3 linked regions of the Oreochromis niloticus genome follow. The protein of the gene in region 3 purifies or fractionates together with the protein of the main gene of each other region. This does not show direct contact. Links are inferred from orthologs where the notes say so. Each region holds a gene or a part of one and is shown on either strand. Other genes may lie near its edges. The genes, in order: arcn1b, copz1 and cope.

Region 1 (7,971 bases), on a different chromosome or scaffold from region 3:
GGGTGTCTCCAGGTAAACACTTAGCTGGTGAGTTTATGGGCTCGGTGACTAATTTCAGGCCATAATGAATAAACTATTGAGCCCATTTTGTAAATATGAGTTATTTTGGGTGTGAGCAGGATTACCAAGGGTATGCTCATCGGCTAATGTTTGTGATTTACATGCTGCTAGCTAATGATCTTTTTACAGTGAGATCACCCCTTGTTCATCACAGCTGGTTTCACAGAAGCTACATCCATCATTTACACATACTGTAATGTTCAGAACGTACAGGTTTTTACAGTAACACGTCTCTACATTTATTCTTCTTTGTTACCAGACCGGTCACCTCATCGGGATGTCAGACAACACATACATAAATGCTCTTTGCAAACTGACTTCTATCCAAACCTGCCTGTGTGTGCTTACCACACGGGAAAAGAGTCTGAGTGTCTCCAGGTCCTCCAGGATGTTGCTGTTCTTGGTGGTGATAAGGACCATGTAGAGCTTCTCCAGTGGCTGGTACACATAGCGAACGCTGTCTGTTTCCACAAAGGTGTGCTGCTTGCCCGTGTTCATCAGTTTAGGAAATGCAGCTAGGAGACCCTCAATTCGTGTCCGGGTCATTTCCACAAACTGCCGCGATACGATGGCCTTGCCGGCCTTGGTGCACACCGCCGCTGCCAACAGCACCTGAGGGGTAAAGAGGAATTTGACTGCTTTAGTTTCCCACAGACCTGAACTATTACAACTAAAGATGCACTAATCGGACCAACATCTATGCTCATAACAACAACAGGAAGGTCAGCGAATGTCAAAATTCAATATTTTTTTTTTAATGTAAAATTTTCTTTTCTATTCCAAAGAAACAAGAAAAAAACAAAACAACCAAAAAACAGATCTTCATCACACTTGCTGAGGATTCATTCATCAGCAGGAAATCTACAACATAGGTACACTGTGACTGCAAACTACTTGGAAACCCTACATCTTAACCTGACGTGCTCCTGTCTAAAAATGCAACAACACGTTACGTTGACACAACCAGAAACAACTGTGATTGTTCAATACCACTGATCCTTCCTGTGAATTTGTGCTACTTTTTGCTGTAGTCTTTGATTTAGAGAATATCAATCATCATCTACATATAAGGAATAATAATCATAGTAAATAAGAACACACATTTCACCAAATTACAGGAGGAAGATTGATGAAACTATCAGAGTGAACACGAGGAAATGTACAAAGAAGTGGAAAACCACATTGAGGAGTGGAGACTCAGGAGCAAAAAGTCTTATTTGTTTTCGTCATAGCTGACACCACATATAAAACCCAAGAAACGAGCACAATGTAATTAACACATAATGCACCAGCACACAAATGCTGATAACAGTGGCCACTTACATAGGTTACATCGTTGGCTCTTCAAAGATCCACTGTAGAAGTCTAAGTCAGCCATTATCCAATGCTAACCTGATGTGGCCTACACTCAGTTAGGTCAATATCAGCTGATTCTGATACTTAGCCGATACAGTGAAGTCAGAAAAACCAGACAAGAGTACTTGTCATTTGATATATTGGTGCTCTCCTGATTACACACGGCTGTAGTTGTTTGAGGACGTTACTAAAAGCACATGAACTAACTGCTGTTTGCCTTTCTCTTAGGTGAGCGAATCTTACAAGTCCAGCTTCTTCAGGTTTCACTTTAAGGGGCTGGGACAGTTAAAAGCCTTGAACAAATCTCAACAATCTTCATCTTTTACCTATAAAGCGAGCAATTCACTCCAAATGTACTCACACCCTTCAAAGCCTCCTACCAGTTTCAGACTTGGTGCAAGAAGACAGTATGAGAGAAGATACGCCATGTATGTTGAATGTGGGAACCAGAAAGTTAGGTTTTGGTTAGAATACACGTTTTGCTTGGAATGAAGCAAAACTATGCTAAAGCTCACAGATACTTTGAGCTGGTCCTTGGTAAGGCCAACGACAGCTAGTGCAGATGTTAGCACAATGGAAAATGATCTTATAAAAGAATCGGGGGTCGTTTAATATAATGAGTATAACAATGGTTGACATAAACGGACGCTTTATGTGGCTGTGCTAAATGAATGAAGGAACTGCACTGATTCCACGTTGACAATAGAAATGGAAGACCCGATCGCACCGATGTGAACTCGATAAAGACGAGCAGCAACTTTGGTTATCGAAGTCGTCGACACTAGCTAACTATAATAACACAGTTGTACCTATAGTTGGGGTTTGTCGCAGAGCCGGGCTCGGTTTAACCTGGCTTATTACAGTCTGACAGCAGGCAGTGGTTGCACGGATCCGGCTACTGACAGGAGACAACTAGCGCTAGCCTCCAAAGCTAGTTCACGTCAGCACGGACTGCACAGCTAAAGCGCTTCACTCCGGTGAAATTCGACTTTGACGACTCATTTACTCGATTTTAGCACCTGAACATGTCGCTAACACTGTGGCTCCGATAAAAAAAGAACCGTTTATTATTTGTCTTCTTTCGTTCATGAAAGGGAAGAAGCTAGTTTTCTCATACCTAGCTTTAGCTACTAGCCAATGTTATGATAGTTGCTAGGCCCGATAAAAGGCAGGGAAATAATGGTCACTTTCGACTGTCACTCACCATTGTGGTCTCTCTCTACGGCACGACGGTCGTCAGTCTCTCGCGTTTCTTGCTTTGGTGATTCCTCGTCCCTCTGGAATGGCAAGGTGCGAATATACAGCTGACTTCTAGTTGTGTGATTGTTAGCTAGTTAGCGTCAATATGGCAGCAGCACAGAGCCACGTCTCCACCGGAAGAGCCGCGCTGGATCAGCCCACCGTGGAAACCAATGACGTGGGCCCCAAAATGTTGGCCTTGTTGCATAAAGAAGTTACTCAGATTACTTCCACCGGCGTTTCTTTCTTCTTTAGACTTCTGTGCGGTACTGACCACAAATTACCTTCACGCGATTACTTTTAACGTTTATCAGCGTATCAATAACCTGGCAAACACATAAATATTATCCAGAGAGATTGTCAGAGTAGTTCTGAGTGATAGCATTTCACGTCTGAGGGGACTGGTCTCCGGGATGAAAACGCCTTCACCCACAGAGCACACGGGGGGGTCGTATAAAAAAAGAATTATATGCTACAGTCCTCATAGTGCAGGCAGTGCTCTCCACCATCATCGTCAAAAACACCAAATTCATCCCATCTAATGCAACATATGATACAATTAGGCTTTTCTCTTTGTTGTCCTTAATTTCTTTATGTTACATTTTAAAACTTAATTGTAAACATAAATATTCTCATTGGGCATTTATCACATGACGGGGGGTGGAGGTGGGGTGGGCACCGAACTACCGATAAGTAAGCTGTCAAGCATGTGAGAAATGTACTAACATGTTGCAGATATATTATGGAATTTATTTTTTTCTTTTAAGTTTAAGTTCCAAACATGTTGAATTCTGTTTTTTTTTTCTATTATTATCATTAAAGAAAGAAAAGTAAACATTTACTCCAACAATCCATTCTTCTGCTTATCCAGTTCCACGACTGGCTGGAACTTATTCCAGCTATGATGGGTTAGGGTACCCTGCACCCTGGATATGTCTGTCACAGGGCTAACACACACACAGACAGACAACGTTCACACATACAATCAATTTCCAACTTCCTGTTTTGTTGTACTATCGTAGTAGGTGTGACTGTGCATGGACAATAAAGAGTTATCCAATTAAACTTTGGGCTGTGGGATTAATGGCCAGACAGAAGATTAGTTACTGGAGATAATTATTAAATTGTTAAAGATATAGAAGAAGAAAATTGCCTTGCACTAGCATGTTTTATTTGGCTAATATTAACATAATAATATTCACTTATATTTGACATTAATTAGTATGTTAATATTTTGATCATTTAGTTAAAAATATACAGACTTCTTTATTTGCATCGGTGGAGGAGTGCAGTATGAAATATTTTAGTTTATGGAAAATAATGGGTTTGATAGCTTATAGACGAGGTGCAACATTTTAAGCAGACAGTTTGAGCAGACAGCATTTTTTATTTAATTTAAATGCACGTGTAAGCAAGATGCTGGTGGCAGCAACACTTTTAGATATTCAGAAAGTTCTTAGGGACATAAATCCAACATTCATATGGGAATACTGTTTATATGTTTGTCATGACCTGCTCTACCGCCTGTGGCTCAGGCGGTAGAGCAGGTCCTCTACTAGTCAGAAGGTTGGTAGTTTGATCCTTGGCTGCTCCTTTCTCCTGTCTGCATACTTGAGTATCCTTGGGCAGGATACTGTTGTCTGATTGCGTCACTGGAGTGTGAACACATCGATACGTCTTTCACCCAGGGGGAGAGGAAAAAATTGTTCTCATTTTAGACCCCTAGCACGAAAAACTACACACATCACAGTGTTGCAGTAACTTATTTTGGTCACTAGGTGTCACCATTTAAACAAAGGGAAGAGGAACACGCGCGATCCTGTATTTATCGGACTGCGTTGATTTTTTTAATCAACAGATATCTCACTGTTCCATTAAATTATACAGTAACAATGTAAGAATATGAGTGTAATTTATTTACTCCCAGTCCTACCTCCGACATTATGTTTTCACGGACTCACTGGATAAGCCTACAGGTGTGTGGTAGTTGGCATACAAGTCCAAAGTTGACAGACAGGTTTTGTTTCTTATGGCCACGTCGTCAGATCACAAAAACATGACACAAGACGACAACTTTTAAAGTAATCATTCTAATACTACTGGCCGATATTTAGCAGCCGGAAGTCAATTATTGCGCTTTCCCTTCTTAAACAATAATAATTTTGTTTCTTTTAAACTTCCAGCATATTCACACTTGAAGTCGTGGATGTGAACACCCACGCCCGCAGAAGCAGAAAGGACAGGCGGGACCAGGAAATGACCTCTAGCCGGTCCGATGACATCATAGCCACCACGCTCATTCATACGCGGAGCTGTTTGAGACGAGTGCTCGAAGTTCATCCAGGAGTTTAGCTGTTTCTAATAGTCTCTGTGTCCAGAAAACACGCTGCTGATTCGTGCAACACCAGCAGAGTAAACCGAATCACCGACATGTCGGAAGAAGCTAGTTCTCAGGTTGGTTTTCTTCACTGTTCAGTCAGATCTTCCCGGTGGACATGCTGCTCATTCAGCGCTCACCCATTGTGTGTACGTTTCGTCATCACGTAGGGCTCGTTGATTGGCTGACATTTGTGCTTGTCTGCGGATTGTGCTCTCTATTGGACAGGGGGCGGTGTCAAACGTGACAGATAGTAGCTGTAAAAAGCTAGATGCTTTAGTTTGATTTGGGAACGTTAAGGTCAGCATTGGATAAAAGCAGGCCGCCAAACAGAGTGCTGACTGACCGCTGACACTTAAACACTGAACGCTAACCTTACAGGCTGGGTGCTTGTTCATTTGCTAACGCTACAGTTCAGTGTGTTAGCTAATGACACCGAAAAACCCCACCGCCACTGTTTTCCCCTCTCAGAGTGAAGTAACTCACAGACACTGAGTTCACCTAAGCTAGCTGTTTAGCTTTTATATTCTCCCCTCATGAAATGCGCAGTACGGATTTTGCTCCCGCCTCGGAGTTACGTTGATAAATGTGTTAAACTTGGAGGTGAACGCATTGAAAAGTTCAGCATTTTATTAAAATGACAGTTAGCTATTCTTTGTCACTGGTGCCGAATGGATGTTTGCCACCTGCTAACCTCGGCTACACTATAACAGGTATGTTTATAAAGGCGCTGAGTAAATACATGTCAGATGAATCGATTTTTGAATGCAGTTTTCGGACAGACGGCTGAAAACCCAGTCTTTGTTTTACCCTTCGTAATGCCCAGGGTTATGTCTGAGACATGCACGGGTCAGGTGAAAAATAAATGAGTAAAAAGAAAGAAAATGTCACAAATAATTCAGATTTAATAGTAAGAATAATAGTTTTAATGATGTAATCTGCATGTAGCGTGTACAAAAATTAGTGAATTATCAGCTATTTTAATTAATAATTAAAAACCTGTATAATAAGTCATCCAGTCAAAAGAAAACCAGTCAAATCAAAAATCTGGTGTGCTGGTGCTACTGAAGATTATCATTTATTTTTATTAAACAGTATTTTTAGTTTTAAACAGCATATTAGCAAATACAGAATACTCCCACTCAAGTAAGTATTACTTTGTTTTACCCAGCCACTGCTATTAAACTGTAGGCCAAGTCTGACCAGGATCACAACGAAATAAAGACTTCCAGTGACGTGTTTAAGCTCAGTTTTTACTCTGACCAGTGTTTGCATCTGTGCATTTATTACAGCCTCTGATTAAAAACAGCCAGCAGTGTTATCTGGATATTTCTGTAACTGTGGTTGTGGCCTGTGTTTGAAGGGTAACGTTTCCACTCACACTCTTCCCTGTGACCACACCTTGTAACCAAGACCCTCCTAAACTGCCTTTTGTAACGGACTCATTGAAAAGACACACTTATCTGTGGGAACCAGAGATACGTGGGGTGGAGGTCCTTAGTGGGGGAGGAGTCAGCTGGGTCCAATAAGAAAGGACACTGTTTAGTATCAAGAGGCTATATGACCTCAGCAAAGCTCCTTACCAGGACGCAGCAGTCAGTCCCAGACACACAGTGCACACAATAGCCTCTACAGTGCAGAAGCTCAGTGTGGACCATGGAGGAAGGACCTTACAAGTACATCAGGGTGAGGCCAGCAGAGAGGGATCATTCATTCGTATTTTAAGTCAGAAAGTGTAACTGTGTTGTGCTGATTGAACATATCAGGAATACATCTTGGAAGTGGGAGAGAGTGAGTGTTTGTAGAATCTTGTGGCTGATCTGGTTTTATGTTCCGGCAGGATGGAAACGGCAAAGTTAGCCGAGTCATTCGAGTGGGAACCCGCAAGAGCCAGGTGAGTATTACATTATTATCCAATCAGGAGCTTTAAATTCAGGCAGGTTTGACTCTAATGTAAAGCTGAACTTACAGATCCCCGACTGTCGGTTGTGAATTATCTGATTTGAAAACCGTCTGGAGCTCCACAGAGATAAAACTGACGAGTGTGTTTTTATGATAACTGTCTGTCCTCCGGTCTGCTCTACTGATTTAATAAGTGTGAAAGGACACAGAATGCAATGAGTTGATCTTCTGTTGCAGCTGGCTCGCATCCAGACGGACAGCGTGGCCGAAAAGTTGAAAGAGCTGTACCCTGACATCCACTTAGAAATCGGTAAGAAGGCAGCCCCTCTGTCTGTACAGCGTTTGTAGCTCTGTCTCCATGTTTCTATTCCTGATCAGAGTGCAGAGTGAGTGGATTATTCACATGTTCTTACAGCTTAGGTCTTAAAATTGAGTCAGAATCTGTCCACGCTGTCACTCCATCCTCACTGCACTGAACACACTGAAGTTTGTGTGTTTGTTCAAAGCAGCTGGTGACCTCGTGTGTTTCCAGAAAAACTTCACTGAACCTGAATGTGAGCAACAGTCTGGTTAGACTGTTGCTGCGCCTCTTAGCCACAGTGTGGAAACGAGATGGAAACTAAAAACCAGGAATTATTTTAAAAAATAAATCCGTCATATTACATAGAACAAACAGTGATTTTGAATATATCGTCCTATTAAAAGGCGGCGTGCACTGATAGTGATTGTGATTGGCCCAGAATATCACCATGTTTAAAATGCCAGTTTTATTCCTCTTTTTTAATTCTGATTAAAATAAAAAGGAATAAAGAGGAATTGTAACTTTTCAGAAAGCAATAACTGAAATGTAAAAAAGTATTTCAGTGTTTGCTGACCGTCAGCCCACTTTCATGTTCAGTACTTCCTCCTGGGTTTTTTGGTTTTTCTGGAGACTGAACCAACACAAAACGGATGCAGCAGCGTTTATACGCTGATTTGAGTCAGCACGGTCGGTTCAAGTCTAATCTGCACATTTAATCGATACCACCACGTACCAA
Region 2 (7,436 bases), on a different chromosome or scaffold from region 3:
GTAATATTAATAAGTTGTTAACTTATTAATATTACAATATTAATAAGTTAATAAATGTTAATAAAATTTGACTACCTTTAAGAGTAAAGATGACTTTTTTAAGTTTAATTTAGTTAGCTTTGTAAGCAAACACAATTTTTTCAGTTAGTTTCTGTGTTTTTCAAAAGCCCCCACCCCCCACCCCTGTTTTTTTTGTTTGTTAATTAAGACATTTTTTCCATGCGTGGTTTTAGAAATGTTTCAAGTAATGAGGAACCAAATGACTCTGTTTATTTCCAGTTGTCTGCCACGTGTGAGAACGGGCAGCTTTTTCACAGGCCTCACCTGGCATTTTCTGGACTTTACTTGTGAAAACTTCTTATGTGGTTTAGTGCAATTATAATGTTCCAAGTGCAAAACAATACTAGTCAAAACTTGCTCATGTACTGTGATTCACACCATTTCTCAGGCTCTCACAGACTGGATGATGAGGCAGGATCCATATTCGGCATGTGCTGTCACTTTCCTCAGCACAACATAAGCAAGTTTCAACTCCTACTTAAAAAGGGTTCATTACAAAAACTAAAATTAAACTTACCTCATTTTCATGTGAACTTCCAATCACGTAAAAGAAGAGGTCTATATTGCTCTTGTAGACAACAGTGAGGCCTTCAAGTAGTGCTATTTCACCTAAAGAGGCACAAAAAACAACCATGCTCGATATTAGGTATGTATTGAGGCAAAGTAACTGTTTTTAACAGTGTAAAGATTGCTTACTGTCTGTTCTGTGTGTTTTGTTGAATATGTTCTTCTCAAATGCCTTCTGCTCCTTCACTGTTGGGTATGTGTCATCATAATACTGCAGAAATTAGAAATTAAGTCATATTTAGATATTAGTCTAAAGGTTACATAATTTTCACTAGTTTTCATTTGTATTATTAGATGATGGTAGAGGATGTCATTTTCTTGCAAACAATCAACCCAAAATGAGAAAACGAGACAATAGTGAGTCATACACATTTTAAAGGTTTACACTTTTCTAAAGTAACTGGGAGCTGTTTGAGCACATAATTTTTAATCAGGAAAAAATACAGCATTTGTTATGGGTTGAATTTTGTGTTTAATGTAGCTATGTGAGCATTTACAGAATCAGGCAGAGTGTTTTTGTTTTTTTGGTGGGGGGTTTTTGGGTGGCAAAAAGAGGTTTATTAACTGAAAATTAACTTCAGAGCAAGAGTGTTTCTATGATTTTTCTTCAAGTTCCTGTGGGCCCCTCTGCACAAACTCAGAATATTTAATCAGAATTAAAATTAGTGCAGAAAATTGGCAAAAAACCCCCCAAAACATTGGGTGACTTTCAGGCTAATGTGCAACCCTGTGTCCTGTAACATAATTATTATGGATAAAGTAGTGCTGTGCAAAACTTTAATTATACCTTTGTGTTGGATAATCCTTTCGCAACGTGAAAAAAAGTATTTAGACTTTTTATAAAGTAAAACTTATAATAATAATTAAGTAGCTTATACTGCATGAACTGTATAATAAAAATATATTCATAAAACATAAAGTAAGCATATTCATTATGTTGAATAGCACTTTTCAAAATCATTAACAGTACTATATCTGTACCACTGGATCATAATTATGGATCCATTGACATTCATATGTATCTCTTTAATGTTCAAGCTATTGATTTTAATTACCTATATATTGCAGTACCACTTGATCTATAATAATGCAATTAACCTGCAAAACAATTACAAACTAAAGCTTAAAAAATAAAGGGTAGAAATTCTAATAATTGCATCCAAAATTTATTAGCGTAAGAGCAGTAGCATGATAGAGCAATGCTTAAATTAAGTACAAATACTTTAAACCCTAAACTAAAGTACTCAAGTAAATGTTACATTACTACTGCTTCTATACATGCTTCCACGGTATTGGGCACTGCAAGATTAACAGTACTGTAGTCCAATATCATTGGTGGGGGAGCAATCATATTTCAGGCAGGGGGTGACCACCTCCAGACATGCTCTGGCTCCAGAGACCTGTTGTGTCAAACAGTGACTTCCGGTGTTTTTTTAATGTTTAATATCATTGCTTACTTTGGTAAACAGCCTGTAGTGAAAATAGTACATTTTGACCACAGGTAAATTACCTTGTGACGACAATTTTCTTTCAGGCTTAAAATGACTTGATACCATTCACAAGAGTTTGACAGATTATAGGCCAATAATTAATTTACAAGCGTTTAAATATCAGCAATGATTTTTGTCCAGTATTCACAGTTTCGCAGAAGATCACTTTTTGGCATGTCACCGGCGTTAATAATAACGAAGTAACATGATGTCACAGATGTCTGAAATTCATACCTTGGCGTAAAGCCGGTCTCCATCGTTGTCCAGAATGAGAACAGCTTTCACCGTGTATAAGGAAGGTTCCTGTGAAGACAGCACACGTTAGGCATTGTTTTATCCTACACAGGAACGAATTCACCTTAATAATTCTTTAAATATGTGGCAACTCGTATGTTAAATAATAAACATGAACTATCAAAAAGGCGACGGTGGACGTGCAAGTAAGTTGAATAAATTGGGTGTCGACTGGCGTCACAAAATCAGTCTAAATGTTATTTAAAAGACTTCTTAATCACCAAATCGTGAAGGAGACATGACAGTTCCACATCATCAACAAACGCATACGAGCTAACTTTAGATGCTAGCTCCTTAGCTAACACGGCCAACCCGTTCACTGTAGTTAGCATTGAGTTTATTCGACTGCTCTCTAAATGACTCTACAACACAAAACTGCGAGAAACATTTTGCTAGTAAATACTTATGTGAAGTACTAACGAGGTAACGCTCGTGGCTTTTACATCGTCAGAAATAAATAAATGGGCTAACATTACCAGTATGGGAGAATCCATCTTCTTTCCTGTTAGCAAACCAGCTACCGGGCTAGCAGCATTAGGCTACGTATTACGTACAGTAAATGAGTCTCTTTCCTATTGGCTGACGCAGTGCCGTATGTTGTGCGTGCAGGGCAAAGATCAGTTCACTGCAGAGCAAGCAGCCACAAAAGAGCTGAAACTCAAAAGCGATGTGGTTAATAAAGAAGTACTTTCAGACTCGCCTGTAGTTATAACACATTTGCCTTTTAAGTCGGGAAAGTCTGAACCTTTTAATGGCCCAAACGTAAAGCTAAACAAGTTATTAACTAACTTTATTACTGTAATTTCGGACTGTATCTTGTTACTGTGTAAAATATGAAGATTACTAACCCCATTAGACTTACAATAAAACCTAAATTCATTCGTGGTTGAAACCGTAAATCCAAACATGTAAATGCCTTTAGTAGCTCGTATGAACTTCTTAAAAAAAACACGTGTAAGTCAGGATGTTTATTTTAGAGTTCACATCCCTGCAGAGCTTACTGTAATTAAACCTAATGACTAAAGGTGGTTGCTGTTTTTGTAGGACTTAGTGGTAACCAGAAATCTCTCGTTTTACAAGCCATTTTAGCTTGCTCGTACTCATCAACATCTTTTTTCAGTATCCTCCTACATTTAACCAACTCCAATTATCTTAGTTCCCACTTCTGGGAAGCATTTGGAAACACAGGCAGATGGGGATTTCCCTCTATCTAACTCCATAAATTACATCATTGTTTGGCCTTACTGTAGGATATTTTTGGGCTTCAAATATCACTGGAAAGCAAATAATGTCCAGCCATTATTTAACTGCAGAACGTGTATTGTGAGGAGATACCAACTATTCTTATGCGTGTTCACAAGAGGACTGTGGGAAACTATGAAATGTTGCAACACTGCAGTATGCTTGCACAAATTTAGCCACTACGATTTCAAAATTGCCTTGACCAGAGAGGAAACTGTATACTGCCTTGAACTAGCTCATACTAAAAGGTTAAAATATCGCCTGATATTGTCATGCCATCTCATCACAAAGTTAAACTTATTTTTATTCTTTTTTGTGTTTAAAAAGCATCACAGTGGTGACGATGACTGGCAAAGCTGACTGATTTCTGAAAGTTGAATGATGAATCAACACATACAATGAATAAACAGAAACAAAATACCTACTGTATATAATGACTGTAAGTTTTCTGGATGGCATATGGTATTGATTCGGTTTACCTAAAAAAGAACTGGATCGATTATTACAAAAAGTAAGTGGTATTAAACATGTACACCACTACTCTGTCATGAAAAGATCCTAAATAATAAAGTCTGCACTGGAAAAGCATGATGTGAGGAAACTGATAGCTAATAATCTCTCTTCAGGAGCTTTTTTTGAGTTTCATCAAGTATTTACCTTATTTTTTTTTAATATTATCAGCAGTGTTTTTTTACTTAAAAGATTAAAACTAGAAAATAATAACATTGCATTATGTAAAAGTGAAGTATTTTAATAGTATGGGCTGTTTCCCTCTCACCACAACATGCCAGCAACCACAGCAGTTAGCAGTTCCCTTCCTATGAATCAAGTGCTCCTTTTATCGGTGTAAAACAGAGCTTCCGCCAACCAACATCCTCCTTTCCCTGCACCCCCCCCCCTCCAATATGTGTTTGCATTACCAACCAGACTTGACTTTCATTGTCAAGAGCACATTGGCCAATAGAATACATAACCTGTTTCCAAAGGAATGTGATGCCTAAATAAAAAGACAATTGCAACCAATTTAAACATTATAATGAATTAAAATACTCTGGTGACAACATATTAGAAGTTAAAAATAAAAAATGCTCTTATGCTTATTTTTTAAAAACAGGTGGAATATCTCACATCTCACACAGATTGGTAATAAGTAAGCAACATAGAAGATGCTCCCAGAGAGTCTAAGTGTTTAAGATGAAAACTGGAGATGGATTCAACACAGTAGGCATTTGCTTTAACAGTTTGAGAATTTCTTTTGTTTAAGAACTTGTATATCTCATCTTCTACCATGGTAGAGATCATATAAAAGAGTCAGAAAACTCAGAGAAAGGCCAATATTAAAAATGAAATTCTGCAGTGGATATCACTGGATGAGCTTGGGGAGACTTTTGAAAAAACATTTCCAGTAAAGTTAGCTTGCTGTGCATCCAAAAATGGAAGTTAACATACTACCATTCAAAGAAAAAACAAAACAAAACAAACAAAAATCCAGAAACAGCAATGTGCACCATGTTCTTTCTGCTTGTTATCAGCACACAGTTCAAAAGCCAGCATTTGCACTTCTGTGAAAGCAATTAATGCTAATTGATATATGCAGGTTTTGGAGAAAGATATACTGCCAGTGCAGCTCCGTTTTTCAGGTACGTCTTGTTTATTTCAGCAAAACAATGCCAAATCACATTCAGCAACTATTACAAAAGCATGGCTCCATAGTAAAAGAGTACAGTTGCTAAACTGGCCTGCTTGTCCATACATGGCGCATAAAATACTTACTGTATTATTAAACAAAGAATAACACAAAGGAGGCTCCAAGCAATTGAGCAAATGGAATCATATATGAAGTAAGAATAGAAAAGCAATTCATCCCCTCCGTTCCCAAGGGCTTGAAGAATTTCTTGAAGAGACCGGTGATGCAACACCGTTGTATACATGGCCCCGTCGAGATATTTTTGGAAAAGCGTTGCTTTGTATTCTTCAGCAGTAACATATCTCGGGTTTAGTACTTGAAACTATGTCGTTTTTGTAACGTTTTCAGTCAAATATAGGGTGTACAAAAATTGCAACTCATTGCATTCACTGTTAGTTCACACTGTACAGGGCATGTCAACTTTTTTTGAGAAACACGCTTGCACAAAAATAAAAGGGGCTCTCAGTAAATAACAAGAAACGCAATACTGTTGTTGCAAAACATTATCTTTATCTGAACATCTTGAGATAAGCACAGGCACTATTGAGACATTCAGAAGAATGATGCTGCATGTTCAGGTTCCTCATTTTCTCTTTCTTATGTCTGGTAATGTGTGACCATCGTGACAAACATTGCTACTGATGCTGTGTGAACGACAGACCACTGCACTTCCAGTTAATTTCCAAAACGATTATTAATCTTTCAACTTTCGTGCACATTTTTTCATTCTGTCTGCCACGTCGGTATCAGCGATACCTGTTTAACAATGTGCTATAAGATGGATTGCATTTTCAGTCAGATACCGATCTGCATATTCCCACTAACGGCTGCGCACATTACCTTATACATGTCACCCCTTTTGTAATTTTTAGCTTTTTAGTTTTTTTTTTCCATAATCAATTTAAAAAAAGAAAAAACTTAAACTGCCCTCTCTATTTTTTTCCCTTCCCAGAAGCTGACTCCAAAAATATTCCCCTTTTGATACCACAACCCATTGCACACATCCATTTTTTTTTTCCTTTTTTTTGGTCATGAGGCGGTTTTTCCCACTCATGTTTGCTAAAGCTTTTTGGATACTACAACAAAACCAAAGATACCACAATTCCTTAATTTTTAATGAACATTTTAATTACCACGGAAAGAACAGCAGACAAATAATTTCAGATTAGCGTCAATACAAAACGTAACGCACATGAAGCAAATCTAAGCCTGAGCGACTCAACCGTGGGCAGTTCCCAGCCAGCACCTCTGGCCTGTTTTTGAAGCACAGTTGTTTGGAGCACTGAGCTACACAATAAGTAAACTCTGACAGCCATGAAAGGTTCAGGCAAGCTGGAAAGCAGAGATGTCAAAGACTAATTGAAGCAAACAAACACAAACAGGGAATGTGGGCGTTGACCTGGGAACTGTGTCCAGATTCAAAACCACTGTGGTTGCAGTAATAACAGGGTGCTCTTTGGCATGCTGTGGCAGTGGTTGAGTCAGGGGCTGGGTGCTAGGAACTTGGGTTGGGAAGTCCCTTCTTTGATTCCTGGTAGACATTCACCTTTCTTGACTTAGTCAGCCACCTAGTTTTTCCATCTTAGAACAATGACAGAGAAAACACTGTGATTTATGTCTCAGTGGGATGTGATATTATATTGGGCCATACAAAACCATCCACGTTCCCAAAGCTTGTGAATGTACAGCTGAATGAAATTTGTAACTGTAGCCCATCAATGTATATTTAATGTTACGTTAAATAACTCAAACTTAGTTATCATCACATTTACAACTTTTGTCTGAATGTTTGTGCAGATGTGTAAAATTTTCATTTTCATTTCAAATCTTTAGTACGATGATAGACGTGCGTGTGCGCGTGTGTGTGTGTGTTTTCCCGCTTTCTGTTTAACAAGTTAATTCAGCGACTACAATTCGAGGAAAGAAATGATTGTGACATCTGTTTTCAGATTCACATTTCTGAGAAATTCTGCGAGCAGTTCTCCAAGCACGTGTTTACTTCTGCTTGCTTTAACAAATACTTGAATCCTATACAAAGTATTAACATATGCGTCTGACACAGAAGCTGAAATAACAGCTTCAAATGGTTTGGTGCC
Region 3 (7,413 bases):
AAAACTTTAAAAAAAACCCCAAAACCTTGAGAACTATTGTTTGAGACCGCATCAAAAAGAAAAAAAAAAAAATTACAAGAAAGCTGGTTGAAGATTTTTGCACAGAACTGTAGATGTGCGCTTCCAAAAGCTGATCAACCACTTGTAGTGCAAATTCTCTAATATCATGTTTAATTTTCTCTTCGATGAAAAAAACCAAGTAATGTCATACCTCGCCAGGTCAACACGATCCAAGCTCAGGAGCACCTGAATGGTCATGGCCATACTGATGGAAAAAAAGAACAACAAGGGTGAGGCTTGGTCAGTTTCATGCAGCGCTCTTTAAACTGCAGGGAGTGAAGATCCCACTGCATAGAATACAGATGACACAGGACACATTTCAACACCAGATTTCCCAAAAACAAATTACGAGGGCTCAAAGTTACAGAGTTCACAGATTGTAAACAGCCCAGAAATGATCTGTGATATTTATAAAAATGTCAAACATAATACATGATTGATGACGTCTATATGCAAATGTAGTTCATCTTCATCTTCTTCATATTAGCCGTGTAGGCGCATTTGTCAAAGCAGCACAGTGAGTCCAGAAGCAGTAATCATGCAAAATGAGCTCAGATGACTGAGCATCTCCATCAAATATTGGTTATGAATAAAAATGAAAGTTAAAATTTAAACTGTTCTTGTTTTCGTGGTGATTATTAGTAAAATATGGTGAAAAATGTTTGGAGCGGATCATAAATCAAACCTTGTTAAGCTAAAAATTTCACTCCCTTCTTACCACTCGAGGCTTTCTCCTTGGTGCAGAGTCCTGATGGCAGCATCAGTATTCATCTCGTGGTAATAGATGGAGGCAGCCATGAGTAGGAAGGTGGTGTTGGCAGCATCCACACTCTTTGCCATCTTTTTGTCCAAATCGGCAACGATTACGTCCCTGAACAAAAACAAAGCCTCATTAAAAGCTGTGAAGAAAAAACAACGACCATCTAAAGATTAAGCTGTTTCAAATACACTCTGTCTTCTTTATTCAAATTTGTATATGGACACCTTATTAAATTCTGTCAGGTTTGTTAAGCAGTTAAAAATGAATAAAAACAAAGCAAACGTAACATCACAAAACACAATTTCCACTGAGAACAGGAAACACAGTCTGTGACTATATTAGAGTGAAACAAAAGATCTACAAGACCTACCATCAATATATTATCTATACAATCTGTTAACCACAGAGGAACTGAATTATGTATTGTATCGTTTGTGTATTATTAACGCAACACTTATTTGGGACACACAGGACATTATTCAATCCCTTGAGTTTGGAGTGACGTGCCAACAGATATAAGACCCGTTGGTGTTCATCAGGCCTGTATCAAGAATGAATGAAAACCTGAGACCCTCAAACACTTAAGAAGTCTCTGCTGAACGCAAATCTCTGCATTTTAAAAGTAATCGCACATCAAATTCTTCTTCTTTCAGCTGCTCCTTTGGGGGTTGCGAGGTCAATTAACTGCCCCATCACACCAACCCTCTGCACAGCGTTTCTCAGAGATCTTCCTCCTACCATATTATCAACATCCTTTGTCCAGCATATCCACTCTCCTCCTCCTCTTCTCTGCGCATGCAGACCATTTCTGCTTTGCCTCTTTAACTTTGTCTTTGTCAAAGTTAGAAGCCTGAGCCGTCTGATGTACTCATTTTTACAGAGAGAAATATGCACATCTTCGTTCTGCCTCCAGCTCCATCATTTCAACATCATACATCAGAGCAGGTCACTGCCAACTTATAAACCTTCCCTTTCAAGCTTGCTGCCATTCTTCTGTCACAAATTGCCCCTAACACTCATATCTACCCACTCTGTCCATTGCCTTGGATGATAGTCCCAGGTAATGACCTTTACTACCTCTCCTCCTTGTATTTTCACTCTTACACAGACATGCATTTGTCTCTTTTTTTCTGTTGACATGCATTCCTCTTTTCTCCGGCGCGCGCACACACACACACACACACACACACACACACACACACCTCCACCTCTCTTCCACCCATTTTCTCCTCTCACTACAGTTCAGAACGTTGTCTGCAATCCTCAGAGTCCACAGAGACTCCTGTCTTACCTCATCCGACAGCCTGTCCATCACCAGCACAAACAAAAAGGCGCTCAGAGCCAGACCCTGATGTAATTCCACCTCCACCTTGAAACCACCTCTCACTCCTCCCACACCCCTCACAACAGTCTCGCTGTCATCATACACCACCCTCAAATAAACTCTTGACACCCTCACACAGCATCGCAGTTCCTCTCTTGGCAACCTTGAATCTGCTTTCCACAGAGCCACAAAGAACAGCACATATCGAACTACTAGTGTGAATTTTAGCCTCCTATTGATACAGACTGGAAAACTACTGTGACAACTAGTATTAACTACAGAAAAAGAATACGTTTTATCCATATCGCCAAGTCCTATGTCCCTCCCATGGTGGACTAGTGTAAGTGGATGTAAAAATGGTACCTTTTGCTCTCACTCGACAAATACTCTGCAAACATCTTCACAGCCTGCAGCTCGGGGGGAGAGTTGGCCTTGATGTCATCCAGGACAACAGCATACTTTCTCTGCAATAACACAGAAAGGACGAGGACAGGTCTCACCTACACTCCGTGTGACAGCGGTGGGAGCGCAGTAACAGAGCTCTGATTGAGACACTCACCTGAGCAATGTACGCTCTATACAAAAACATGTCCCTCTCGATCTCCTTTTCTGGTGACGACGGCTTCAAAGGCAAAACACAGGCAGCATTTCAGCACCGAATTAAGTGAGAGAAATTTGAGCTAACACATTTAGCACTGCTGGCTCACACAGAGCCGCGGGGACACAGACAGCTTCGTTTAGACACATTCAGCTGTTAACTGTTTGTCACCTACCTTCACTTTCTGCGCCTCATTGATGCACTGCTGATAGCTGCCGATGTAATATGCATTTTTCACATCGAACAGCTCATCAACATCTCCCTGCTGCGCCGCCATGTTGACTACAGAACTTCCTGGACACGTAGCACATATACGTCACCTTCTTACGTTTTGCCCAGGATTCTGGGAGATGGAGTTCAACTCTGAGGGAGAGCATAGATTGATGGTATATCTCTGTGGTACATGCTGAAAAATTTTTGTATTTAGTCAACTCTTTTGTTAATGCTCTGTTTTTTTTCACATTTCTACTGTAAGGCACTTTGTGATCGTCACTTTCTTACTTTGTTACAAGTAGTACCCATTTATAGCATAGACGAGCCCTTCCAGCTCTGCTCTCTTCTATCGTCTCTGTTGTCTTACTTCTCTCTTTCACCTTTTTTTATCCCTTTGAAGAAGTGAGGCTTCATAGATATTAAAGAGGTAAGTATTACTTCTCAGTTGCAGTGAATTGATAGAAGAAAATAAACTGTAGAAAACTAAACAGAAGAAAGTAGAAGAGAAATAACAATTTAACATAAACCAGTGACACTCTCAGGGGCCTGATCAACCCTGGCAGGGCCTCCTTAGATGAGGGTGTCTAGTGATAATGAATGAAACACCCGATGAATCCAAGGTCCACTACTGACGATGTGTCCCAAATTTTAATATGATAATCAGATCTCTAATCCCTAAACCTAACCAAGGAAGGTTAAAAATGGCAGATTAGCTTGGGTAAAAGACCAAAACACCCTGTGAAGCTGAGGCACACAACGACGTATCCCGCTGGTGAAGTTTCTGGGCTGCCTTTCCTCATAACCGCCATCCCTCAAGACTTTCTCCATTTGAAGCAATGCATTATCAGGGATTGTAACATCTAGTCCTTTTACTGTACCCATTTATATGCGCCTTTACTTATTTTAATGTGATTTATTCTTGTGCATTTAGACCAAAGTGAATATTCTGCTTTAGTTCTCCTTGACTTATCTGCAGCCTCTGACACCAGTAATCATGGAAGGGGGTTGGTATTTCTGGTTCAAATGGTTCTCATCATACTTATCTGTGTGTCCTCATCAGCCCCCCTCACACGCGGGGTTCCTCAGGGCTCAATCCTTGGTGCAGTTTTCTTTCCTTTATATACCCCTGCGCATTCTGCTAAACAGCTTAAAAGGCACTTCCTAGAATTTCTTTGCTGATGACACACAGCTGTATTTTTTCTGTCAAGACAAACAACCTCTCCTTCCTCAGTGAATGCTCGGCTGTGATTAAAAACTTCCTCCATCTCAGTTGTTTCTAAAACTGACGGTTTTATTTGGTTTGGGCCTGAAGACGTCTCTAAGCAGGTCAGTTATTACACCATCCTGCTCTCAGGCAATATCACATCATGTATTAAGGACTTTGGTATTATTTATAAACAGCAAGTTTGAATCTCAGAGCTCAGCCAGTTTTGTTTCTTTCATTTAAGAAACATCTCAAAAATCAAACCTTCACTGAAACCCAACAGTTTTTTGAGTACACACTTGCATTATCTGCTCGCACGCCTCCCTAGACTGTCTTCATGGTCCAGAGCGCAGCAGTGAGGCACCTTACATGAAGTAACAGGTGCTCACACATCACCCCTATTCTTGCTTCCTGCCTCAGTTTCCAGTGATTTTCAGAATTCATTTAAAGATTTTTGGAATAACATATACAGCCCTACATAGCCAGGCTCCTGTCTACATAAGAGACCCGCTGAGACCTTACAACAGCAGTCAGCCTCTCAAGTCTTCTGATCAGGGTCCTTTAACTGTTTCATGCACCTATATTAAATCCAGAGGGAATCACTTTTAAAGTAATAACTCCTAAGCTTTGGAAGAGGACATCAGGCCAGCTGAGTCAGTGGTTTGTTTTAAATGACTGCTGAAGAGTCATTTTTATAGGTTAGCATTAGCCCTTGTTCTTCTAATGTGCATATCTCACTGTGTGTTTCCATGTTTAAATATGAACACTTATCACTAATGTGTGATTTTATCCAAACTGTTAAGCACTTTGTAAATGTGTGTTTTAGAAAGTGCTATACAAATACTCATTCTTCTGCTTATAATTATTACTTATTATAAATGGACATCAGTATTCTTTTAAAACCCTGCTGTACAACAGCATGTAAGCTGAAGGCTGTGTAAAAATGGAGAACACACAGCCCCAACTATATGGATTACAGACTACCTGACAGTCTGTGAGATTGGGCAGTGCTCTGCCTGGTTAGGTGATGTGCAGGGCCCCACAGGGGATCGTGCTTTCTCCATTCCTGTTCACCTCGTACACCTCAGATTGTCAGTACAACTCCGGGTCACGGCACCTACAGAAATACTCTGATGACTCTGCAGGAGTTGGATGTATTGTATTTTAGTGATGAGCAAGCAACAGAACACAAGTGGACGATTTTGCTGAATTGTCTGGGAGGAATCACCTGCTTCTGGAAGTAAATAAGAGCGGAGAGATGACGATTGACTTCATGACCCGTGTCTATCCTGGGACAGGATGGTGATGAGTTGCAGGGAGTACAGGCACCTACGCATCCACACTGGCAATAGGCTGAACTGGAAGACCAACACAGATGCTGTACACAAGAAAGATATGAGCATGGCCTATCGCCTAAGGAAGCTGAGATGCTTGAATGTGTGCAGCAAAATGATGCAGATTTAGTGTCCTTTGTCTGCTAGGACAGCAGCATCAACCTGGACTCTTTTCAGGATCCTTCTATCACAGATAATCCCGACCACTCTCTGCACCACTTACTACTAATGGAAGAAAAACAGCACACAATTTACTTTGTGTGCATTTCTGCAGAGGTCTTCAGCTTACAGAGTAATTTCTCACATTATACCACAAGAGGACGCTCCAGATCAATCTCACCACTACAACTGTTCCATTTTTTCTCATTGTGACAGACTTATCCCATAGAAGCACAAATCTTACAGTAAATGAGATTATACAAAAATGTTCTTGTAGCTCAGTAAGATAACACCTCAATAATCACACCTGGCTGTCAAAAAAAAGGTTTTCCTGAGCATAGCACTGCAAGTGCAAGAGTATCAGGCCTACATCATATATATAAAATAAACTATTGTCTTAACATAACAATCCAAAAAGGATATGACCTTGGGAATTTCTGTATCCTCATTAGACAGACGGGGAAACACTTCCCCTGTCCTGAAAACATCCGCTGATAGTTTCCCCCCTCTCTCACATCAGGATCATTGGCCCGACATCATGCTCTCAGCACAGTTTTGCACATTTGTCTGCAAAAACTGTCACCAGAAGCACCAAAGCAGGCTGCGTTTATGTAAAAAAGACACATTATAGACTATTTATTATTTTGACCCTGATAGAAAAGCTGCTCCCCACAGTTCCTGCTCATTGTTCCCTTAACACCGTTTCCTCTGGGAAATTTTCAGCCTTGGGACTGGGAACTGGACGAGGATAATTACTGGAAGCCCTGCACGGGGGCAGGGACTGTGCTGGCTGTAAATGGCCCTTTTCTTTCGGCCTGATTGGGCTTGGACCACTCCCCCTCGTTGCTCCTCCATTGGTCCGAGCCCACATCAATCTGGTGATTTCCAAGTGCCTCTCAAGTTTGAAACTTTTTTTTACGAGTGGGAGGACTCGAGTTACAACAAACTGTGGTAACTGATCGCGCAGCAGCCGAGGGAAGAAAACACGCGTTCAATAATTTACACATCTGTGCCGAGTCCACGGTTACAGAACAAAAACTGAATTAAACAGCAGCGAGGACGGGACGTTTCACAGCCCACACGCAGCAAAACAAGTGGAAGAAAACCTAAATATGCTGTGAAGTGACTTTATCGCCTCTGCCAGGATGAAGACTTGAGACATTTCGCTCACAGTACTAACTTGCTGTCATCTGGCTGGCTGACCGCTCCTGTGTCCCCGTGAAGCTGAGAGTAAGGTGAGTCCCACCTCAACGGTCGAGCAGTTTTTAAACATCCCAGCGCTCAGCGGCCTGTGGTTAAACCAGCTCCCCCCTCCACTCCTCCTCGGACAAACACGGACTTGATGAGAGCTGTTTTGTTTTCTGCGTTTCTTTACGTGTTTGACAGCCTCCATGTTTGGCTCGAGCTCAGCGGAAGTAACGGCCAATCAGTTCGTGCGTGATTGGGATACTTTAAATAGCGTTTGATAAGAGATTTAGCGGCTAACGGACTGTTTCCGAAGTGAAATAGAGTTGCACGGGTTGTTGGTTTAATAAGATGTGGACACGGTGCGAGAAATGAAAGATAAACAGAGTTTGTGCTTCACCATGTGGATGATCATTAGGATTATGTGTCTGCGTTTATTAGTCATTGATTGGTAATGAGAAAGCACCGCTGAAGCTCTGACTGTGGGGGTGGTGTGTTATACCAGCCGCCCATGTTTCAGACCTTTGTGGGGCTTTAAACCATGTTTGCTGGATTTAATGGGAAGACATTAACATT

The links.
Region 1: the proteins of cope (region 3) and arcn1b purify together in Homo sapiens (affinity purification with mass spectrometry; 4 studies listed by BioGRID and IntAct, with this or other methods). This does not show direct contact. The link is inferred for Oreochromis niloticus from reciprocal best matches to the Homo sapiens genes COPE and ARCN1.
Region 2: the proteins of cope (region 3) and copz1 purify together in Homo sapiens (affinity purification with mass spectrometry; 3 studies listed by BioGRID and IntAct, with this or other methods). This does not show direct contact. The link is inferred for Oreochromis niloticus from reciprocal best matches to the Homo sapiens genes COPE and COPZ1.

Annotation. Positions count from the first base shown.
Region 1 is NC_031979.2:1,082,653-1,090,623, forward strand, and holds the start of arcn1b (archain 1b), read right to left. Parts: upstream 3,026-7,971; 5' UTR 2,624-3,025; coding exon 2,621-2,623; intron 673-2,620; coding exon 409-672; intron 1-408. Other genes in the region: porphobilinogen deaminase, read left to right, coding at 6,689-6,718, 6,873-6,926, 7,172-7,244. UniProt on the Homo sapiens protein: Component of the coatomer, a cytosolic protein complex that binds to dilysine motifs and reversibly associates with Golgi non-clathrin-coated vesicles, which further mediate biosynthetic protein transport from the ER, via the Golgi up to the trans Golgi network.
Region 2 is NC_031984.2:19,116,340-19,123,775, forward strand, and holds the start of copz1 (coatomer subunit zeta-1), read right to left. Parts: upstream 3,044-7,436; 5' UTR 2,906-3,043; coding exon 2,888-2,905; intron 2,421-2,887; coding exon 2,352-2,420; intron 839-2,351; coding exon 757-838; intron 670-756; coding exon 578-669; intron 1-577. UniProt on the Homo sapiens protein: The coatomer is a cytosolic protein complex that binds to dilysine motifs and reversibly associates with Golgi non-clathrin-coated vesicles, which further mediate biosynthetic protein transport from the ER, via the Golgi up to the trans Golgi network.
Region 3 is NC_031986.2:44,407,028-44,414,440, reverse strand, and holds the start of cope (coatomer subunit epsilon), read right to left. Parts: upstream 3,079-7,413; 5' UTR 3,020-3,078; coding exon 2,918-3,019; intron 2,767-2,917; coding exon 2,704-2,766; intron 2,609-2,703; coding exon 2,508-2,608; intron 932-2,507; coding exon 779-931; intron 266-778; coding exon 212-265; intron 1-211. UniProt on the Homo sapiens protein: The coatomer is a cytosolic protein complex that binds to dilysine motifs and reversibly associates with Golgi non-clathrin-coated vesicles, which further mediate biosynthetic protein transport from the ER, via the Golgi up to the trans Golgi network.